Linked DNA regions of Kluyveromyces lactis. The protein of the gene in region 1 interacts with the protein of each later gene in a pairwise test. Links are inferred from orthologs where the notes say so. Each region holds a gene or a part of one and is shown on either strand. Other genes may lie near its edges. The genes, in order: MSH5 and MSH4.

Evidence for each region.
Region 2: the proteins of MSH5 (region 1) and MSH4 interact in a two-hybrid assay, tested with the Saccharomyces cerevisiae proteins (2 studies listed by BioGRID). The link is inferred for Kluyveromyces lactis from reciprocal best matches to the Saccharomyces cerevisiae genes MSH5 and MSH4.

Annotation. Positions count from the first base shown.
Region 1 is NC_006039.1:1,436,963-1,441,438, reverse strand, and holds MSH5 (MutS family protein MSH5), read left to right. Parts: upstream 1-1,633; coding exon 1,634-4,438; downstream 4,439-4,476. Other genes in the region: KLLA0_C16445g (cyclin family protein), read left to right, coding at 130-1,464. UniProt on the Saccharomyces cerevisiae protein: Involved in meiotic recombination. Facilitate crossovers between homologs during meiosis.
Region 2 is NC_006042.1:1,015,893-1,020,462, forward strand, and holds MSH4 (MutS family protein MSH4), read right to left. Parts: upstream 2,989-4,570; coding exon 322-2,988; downstream 1-321. Other genes in the region: SUMO protease ULP1, read left to right, coding at 1-267; histone deacetylase HST2, read right to left, coding at 2,985-3,995. UniProt on the Saccharomyces cerevisiae protein: Involved in meiotic recombination. Facilitate crossovers between homologs during meiosis.

The DNA.
Region 1 (4,476 bases):
TTCTTCTGAATTCATATTTAGTTACTAAGGAAGGGATATTCATCCAGGAATTGAATACTTGGCTTTGAATAAAGATTTGTGCTTATTGTGTTCTTTTTTTAATTGTTCTTCAGTCCGCGTCTTTGATTGATGATGCAAATGCAGCAAAGGGTAGCACTTGGTGATGTTACTTCACAGATTAACAATAGGGCCAATCGGTTTAGTGTTGACGGTGACAGCAAGAAAGCGTTTGTTGATGCTGGATTCTTGAAGGAGAAAAGGGTAAAGAATGCGAAGGAGAATGATTTGTTTAGTGGTCATGACGATGATTTAGTAGTAGCACGGGCTCAAAAACTACGAGAACAGACTCTTGTTTCTTCTGTGAGTACTGAGAGTATACGGTCGCAACAATTGTCTAGCAATAGTAACGAAACAGTACAACACCATTTGATTGAGGTTGAAGCAGATGATGAGGATGATGCGGAGACTGATAGTGAGGCACTAGCTTTTAAAGAAGATGAAGAAGCAGAAACAGGCGGAGATATAAGTGAGGAAATGGAAGACGTAGATGAAAGTTTTACGCCGTTAGTGCCGGTGGTAACGGAACATTCAGAGAGGTTATATCAATATGTGTATGAGAGGTTACACCGTGAGGAGCCTGACCCTAACGATGAGGACACATGGGACCCTGTTATGGTATCGGAATATACCATTGAAATTTTTGAACATTTGAAGTTTTTGGAGAGGAAATTTTCGCCGAATCCCAGGTATATCGAACATCAACCGGAACTAACGTGGAAATACAGATCAACGTTGATCGATTGGATTGTTCAAGTCCACGATAGGTTCCAGTTGTTACCTGAGACGTTATTTTTAACGGTAAACATTATCGATAGGTTTTTATCAAAGAAACAAGTCACTTTGAACAGGTTGCAATTAGTCGGTGCAGCAGCTCTATTCATTGCTTCCAAATACGAGGAGATCAACTGTCCAACTTTGAAAGATATGCTGTATATGCTGGACAATGCATACACTAGAGAAGAGATTCTAAGGGCAGAAAGATTCATGATCAATACGTTAAATTTCGAATTTGGATGGCCAGGTCCAATGTCATTTTTAAGAAGAGTTAGTAAAGCGGATGATTATGAATACGATACAAGAACCGTGGCTAAATATTTATTGGAAACTTCCATAATGGAGCCAGAAATAATAGCAGCGCCACCATCTTGGCTTGCTGCAGGTGCATATTACTTGAGTAAAATCATTATCGGACTCACAGGTTGGTCTGACGAACACATATATTATTCCGGTTACACAGAAGAGCAATTAATACCGTTGGCAACAATGATTTTGGATTCATGCAGACATGCAACAGAACGTCACAAAGCAATATTCGATAAGTACTCGAGGAGTCGCCATAGGAAATCTGCTTTTGTAGTAGCGAAGTGGATTTCAATGGCCGAGAGTCGGTTGGAACAGAAATAAATTCGACAAAAAGAGAGCGGCTAATCATTACTCATACGCCTTCCCGACACATCTAGATAGTACTTAACTCAAAGAAAGCAAAGAAAAAGTGTCAATTCACTTCTTTATCTAATGTTATATTTCGTTTAAATTTCATTTCCAGCACAAATTTACTTTAAAAGTGAAAAGAATGAGATTATTCAGTTTTACTTTCAAAACTAAACTGCACTGTTTATTGACAGAGCGAAGAAAACGAAGGGAAGAAACGGTACAGGCAATTATTCAAGACCAATCACCATCAACAATGCCAGTCACGGCTAAACGTCCGTTATTTATTGATCGGTCGGTCGATTCTGAACTAATTCCAGGTATTGGGAATATACAGGATAGCAATGCTACCGAAATACCCGCCGAAGGTGAAAACAGAAATGTATTGGAAAAATATGCAGATGAAACCATGCATGAGCAAAGCATTAATTGGGAAAATGAAGTAGTATTCTGCTTGGAACTACAGCAGTCCAAGCTTGGAATATCTCTATTGGACATAAATCAAGAGACTTTATCGGTTCTAAATCAGGACATTATTGTTAATGCCAGAAGTTCAGAAAATATGAATGAAGTGAACTTGATTCTAGAAAATTTGATACTTGAAAATGAACCTAGCGTAGTGTTGTGTTCAAGCAGGTTAGGGGAAGTGATTTATGAAAACCTCAAATTTTTGTCAATCGAGCGCAGTTTTAGATTGCAGATGCAGTCCCATGACAAATTTAAAGTAGAATATTTTGTTCAACATTGGAACAACTTTCAAGAGTCCCAACAATTGATAGATATTCAAGGATTTCAGATCTTGGACCAATTGGGTACAAACAAAGCCGCTAAAGTGACAACCATGTCATTGAGCTGCTTGATAAAATCTATGGATCATTTCTCCGCCGTTGATTTTGACGAATGTGAGATGTTTAATTTTTTCGAAAAGGTCAATATAGTGAGACAATTAATGTTGAAGGATCGGCTCTTTCTTGATGATGATACTCTGGCGGCTTTACATATTTTTAAACCCATCCAGATACCAGGACATTTTTGTGAAATAACAAAAACCGGCTATTCATCTGTGTTTGATTTGCTCAATCACACTACTTCAGAACTTGGTAAAAGATTGCTAAAATCCTGGTTAGCCAGTCCACTATCTAATAAAATATTAATAGAAGAGAGACAAAAGGTGATACGATCTCTAATTGACGGCAAGAATGCGATATTATTCGACGATCTTTCAAATTCTCTAAAGTACATGCCTAATATATTCAGCATTGTAAATGAAATGAGCAAAGGCGCAGTAAAACTCTCAGTGTGGAGAAAATATATTTCTTTCTGTACCAAAACTGTCGAGATCATAAACTTAATCCATATTCTCTACGATTCTTCAGATAATTGCCGGTTATTTAACACCATAAAAAATGACCTTGATAAAAGCATGATGTTGAAGATATTAAAGAAAACCGAAAGTGTTCTTGATTTGGAGGGGTCCCTTAACCAAGATGCGATTGTTATAAAGGATAAAGTTCGTATAGAACTAGATGAGGCAAGAGGAACTTACTTCGAGCTTGAAGGTGTTTTAAATCTTGTGGCAAATGAGGCAAACAATACACTAATATCAACATTGCAGAGTAATGAGGAGAAGCTTTTTAAAAAATTGAACGGACGAAATGCTTTGATAAATGCGATATATCTACCACAACTTGGTTATTTACTATGTGTTGATGCATCCATAGAAGATATGTTCGATCCAGCTGTGCTATACTGGACTGAAATTTTCAGAGAACAGAATGTAATATATTACAAGAATGATGATACGAAAGTTATGGACGAACACTATGGTGACCTTCATGGAATAATATCCGATTTAGAGTTGGAGATCCTACTTGAACTACAAAATGCAGTCTTGAATACAAAGCCAGCAATTTTGCTGTCAGGAAAATGTTTCGCAGAGCTCGAGGTTTTAGTCTCATTTGCTAAGACCGCCATTAGCCAAAATTATGTCCAGCCTGTCATTGAGGAAAAGGAATGTGTAATTGAAATTGAAAACGGCCGGCACCCCTTATATGAAACACTTGTAGACACATACATCCCCAATGACCTTCGCATGCTTGGCGGAACTTTTGATAATGATACTTGGAATAATAATTTCAAAAGAATTTCTGTCATTACTGGCGCTAATGCGTCTGGTAAATCTGTTTTTTTAACGCAGAACGGACTTATAGTGTTTCTTGCTCATATTGGTTGTTTCGTTCCTGCTGATAATGCACGTATTGGTCTCGTGGACAAAATATTGACCAGAGTAGTGACTCGGGAATCTGTAGCAAAGACGCAGAGTACATTTGAGATTGATGCAAATCAAATGTCCAAGTGTTTGTCATTGGCAACGCCGAGAAGCTTACTTTTGATTGATGAGTTTGGTAAAGGGACAGATGTGATTGACGGCCTATCTATGTTCGGAGCAATTATAAAGGACTTTTCAAGGAGCTCGTCTTGCCCTAGAGTGATCGCATCTACTCATTATAACGAAGTTTTCAGTCCAAACATCCTTACTAGTGAAATTAATGGTGTAGTATTCTATAAAACCGAGATTTTATTGCAGGTGATGGAAAAGGAAAATAAAGGAAATGCCAGAGATGAAATGATTACCTTTTTGTACAAATTGAGCACCGGAATTGCCACGAACTCTTTTGGTATATTCTGTGCCAAAAACTGTGGCTTAAGGCAGAGCATTGTCCAAAGAGCACAAGAACTTACAACTCAGATAGCAGATGGATTTGACATTGCTAAGAACTACAGCAAACTAACTATCGAAGAATTGAACCAATTTAGAATTGACCAGGATATTGCGAAAGAGTTTGTAGCATGGGATCTTGATCTTGAGTCCATCCATTCTGACAAGATACAGCATGCAATACGGAGAAAACTACAAAGAATATTGGATGCTGGACAAAGCTGCTAATTCGTGAGTACTCAGAAAGCAAAATATTACACGAATGA
Region 2 (4,570 bases), on another chromosome or scaffold:
GATTCTCTTTCTTCTGGAATGAATTCGGTCAGTTTCCTAATTATGAAAAATCTCCAGTCTTATGTGATGGAAGAAAGCAAACAAAAGCTTGGTGAGGATTTCGAACTTTGCCATATTGCTTGTCCACAGCAGCCAAACGGATTTGACTGCGGCATATATGTTTGTCTGAATACACTTTATATGAGCAAGGATTACACTTTGAGCTTTGATTCTAAAGATGCAGCAAACATGAGAAATTACATAGGTCATTTAATATTAAGTAAATAGAATTAAACTCTTTTCGTTGACGAATACTAAAATTTGCTATTCTTACCACTTGTTTCAGACTATTTCAAACGTTGAAATGAAATCATCTTGTAGACTTCGCAACTCTTCAATGTCAATTGTTTTTTCATGATTACAAAACGCTTTGAGTTTTTGTACTAAATAATAAACCTGTTTGATTTGGGTAGTTTGACATGCATTATCACAAGAATCTTCCTTTGCAATGATTTTCAAACCTTTTCTTTTGCTAGCTCGAAGTAATTCCGATATTTTGTATGCTTCCAACATAATTCTTTCACTGAAAATTCGTTTACAAATCATCATACCGTATCCTTCTATCTCTTCTGATTCTGTGGAGGCTTTATATTTCATTTTGAGATGTGATTCCTGATCAATCTCAGTTTTCATCTCAAGATGTAAAACACGAGGCTTTGGTGCCAATATTTTAGGAATATCTCTGAAATGTGTCGATAGAAATACAGTAGCATTTTTGGAAAGGAGATATTCCGATATAGCCAAAGCTATAGAGAACCCATCTGCGATGCTTGAGCCACGTCCTAATTCATCTAGGATCATAAGAGTCTTATCTGTTATATCATCAATGAAATATGCCATGTCTTTCATTTCTGCTGAGAAAGTGGATGAATACGCCTCTATGTCATCATTACAGACACGGGCATGAAGCTTCTGATATAGGGGGAAAGATGCAGAAGTACAGGGCACAGGGCATCCTATCTGCGCCAAAATTGTAAGCATAGCAACTTGTTTCAAGTATATTGATTTTCCGCTCATGTTACAACCTGTTACTATCTGAAACGAAGAGAGATTGGGTATTGCCTCTACATCATTCGCTACAAAGTTGGTTAGTGTATTTTCTAAAATTGGATGGCGAGCTCCACTAAGTGATAAATGATTACCAAACGATGCTAAAATCCAGTTATTCTCTAAACCCGTTGTTGCAAGAGAACACAAAAGGTCTAGAACTGATATAGCCTCAGATATCATAAAAAGTGTTGCGATATGAGAAGAAATATTGGATAAAAGTTCACTCACGGTTTGTTCACTCAAAGCTATCATCTCACAAGTAAGCTCAGAGAGCCTTGTATTCATTTTCATTAAGTTCAATGTGGTAAATTCATACGCAGTTTTCTTCGTAACACGATTGATAAAGCAGGAGTCTAAATCAGAGAGCTGGTTAATGTCTTTCTTTTTTAGTTTCAAGTAAAACTGCCGATTAACATCATGTCCATGGCTGAAATTCAATCCAAATTTATCTCTGAGGGAGTCCACTTCTCTCATAATATCATCTGTTAAAGATTTATACAATTGCCTGAGCACGTCAAGAAGACCGTTTGAACCTCTCTTAATAGCGTACGCTTTCTGGTTTTGTAGATCGATAGGTGTAGAAGCCCAACGTGTATCTTCATTGAGATATCGATTGATCAAATCAAAGATGCTGCTAATATCATCTGAACTAAATATTGCCATGATTTCTGACAACAATTTGCTTTCAAATTTGCTTTCTTCGAAAAGTCTCTTAAGCGTTGTTGCACTCTCAATGGATTCTTTCAACAATATGACATAATTGAGCTTTTGATCAGGAAGAATGACGGTGTGATTGAACGAGAGAAGTTTAGAGAAAAGAGCATCCAGGTCATGAAGAACTTTTAGCTCCATCCTAAAGGAATTTAAAAAATCTGGGTTGTTCTGTAGTTCCTGTACAGCAGAAACTCTAAGCTTTAACGAATTAATATCAGTTAAAGGTTGAAGTATATCATTCCTAAGCGCTCTATGTCCCATTTTAGTCACTGTTTTGTCAATTACTTTTAATAGTGTCATTCCATTTGATTCTAGAGTGTTTTCTATTAATTCTAAAGATTGAACTGTTTTCATATCAATCAACATGGTATTGTCACCATTATCAATTCTAACTCTGAAGTTGCTAAACTTTAAAGCTAAATCAGCTTCAGCTATTTGTGTCATGTAGTTGCTAGCCGCAGATACTGCCATAAGACAAAACTCTTTACCGATTAATTGTTCCGCGAAAGGTACAGGAGACTTGTTTGTACCAAGTAAGGCGAACTTTTCAAGAACTTCTAATCCCTCTTGAGGATTGTAAACTTTCGTGGCCGCCTCGCATATCTTTACATTGTCGGAAATATTGCATTTGACTATAGTCGACAACTTTGAAACTTTTCCCGACAATGAATGCGATGGAATGAGGATTTCAGTGGGTTGACAGACGTATATTTTGTTTAAAGTTTTAATAAAGACTTGAGTATCAATGAATTCTGAAACGTGCATTTCCGCAGTTGAATAATTTACCACGCAAATTCCAACTCGTGTATCTGCATTTTTCCCAGACTCGAATATGCTAAATATTGTCCTGTCAGGCCCTACAACAAGTCCAGAGGTAGTTGTAGTAATCTTTTTATTTCTTGACGTATACCTTGACTCAGATTTGGATTGCCTAGTTTGCATTGATTTTCTGATTGGCAAAGAACAATCCCTTTCCTGCTGATGATTTGATAATTCAAAAATAGTTGGCTGCCTATCGACTTTACGTTTCTTAGATGTTGAGTGCCTGCTAACCCTTGAATTATTTTGAGATTGATTATCCGATGTAGTGGTTCCGACGGAAGAAGTGCCTTCGACCGAAGACGATTCAAAAGCCCACTTTGCGAAAGATGTAACATTACCAGATGTTGTCGCTGTGTTGTTCATTCTTTAATGGTTAGATTATTTAGCTCAAGTGCTATTTCCTCCGTGACCTCTTTCAATACCTCTTCCTCTTTCGTGTTGATCTTCTCCTGTTGTTCAGGTTCAGGTTTATTTATATGAACCTTTGTTTTCGTTTTCGATTCCGGCTTAAATTGTTTGCCGCTGAGGTTTTCCAAATCTTCGAGCCAGCACAACTCTTGGGCAAGCAAAAAGGCTGCATAATCTGCAGAGCCCTTGAATATCAGATCAGTATCTTGGCGTGAGGTCTTGAAATCACCAACTATCTCACGGTTCAGTAGCACCCTAAGCCACGAATTCGGTGCCTCCATGGGTAACGATGCAAACGGGTACACAGTTAAGGACGTACCACAGACAATACAAACTGTTTTTTCCTTCGTAGAGCTATCCAAATCCCACGTATCGAAGAACTCGGTAGGTAACCCTTCACCGAAGAATACAATCTTCGGTTTAATCAACCCGCCACATCCATCACAAGTAGCATAATTTCCGCCGTCCTCATCGGTTTCTTGTTCGTTTAATAGTAATTTATTTTGAAAAGCTTCCTTTGGGAATTCTTTACCACAGTCAATGCAATGGTTTGACGCAAATGATCCGTGTGCTTCTATAATGAATTCATCGCTGATATTTGCTTCTCTTTCCAAAGTATCTATATTCTGGGTATATATTCTTTTTAACCGGTTTTTGCTCTCGAATAGTTTCATCAAATAATGGAACGGAGACGGCTTGAAATTACCAGGATACAACTCCTTTGCAAGAGTATAAAACGGTTTGGGATTCTGTTCGAAGTATTCTATATCGAATACAGCTTCAGCATAAGGAAGATTCAGTTTTGATAAGTTATGGTAAAGCCCTGTTTCTGGAGATCTGAAATCGGGAATTCCACTAGAAGTTGATATTCCAGCCCCAACCATGAATATAACTTTCACATCAGGATTATCCTGGAGGTATTTGGCTAACTTTTTAATAGCCTTCGGTATTTCAGCAGACATAGGGATGGGCAATATGGCACCGCGAAACGAAAGCTGGATCTATAAAAATCGAACCAAAAAAAACACTAAAAAAGAGGTTCAAGTAGTAATTACTGAGGTAGTATACCCTAGTAGGTTTGTATGACCAGATATACGACGATATGTGGGAGGTTCACCTTATGAAGCTGATTAATAGATGAATATCCGGTATATAGTATGGATAAAGAATATAATTAACTTACCTTCCTTTTCATGGTGGAGCAGAGTGAAAAAAAAATCAAAAAAGAAAACGACCCCGGAGAGGATTGAACTCTCGATCTTGCGATTAACAGTCGCACGCCTTAACCAGCTTGGCCACGGAGTCACGTTTCTGGTGTTTCCGATTTCCTGTCCAACCATACTCGGGTAACAACCGGCTTCACCATGGTATTACTCATAATTCCACTTTCATGCCATCCTGTTGCAAGCAGGCCACATTCTTCTTAGGCTGTTTCAATGCAACCACAACAAAACAATACACACATTACTAATACCTTCTATTTAACACTTGAATGGCTGCCTCTCTTAATACAGCCATCTCTATCTATTCTCACGAA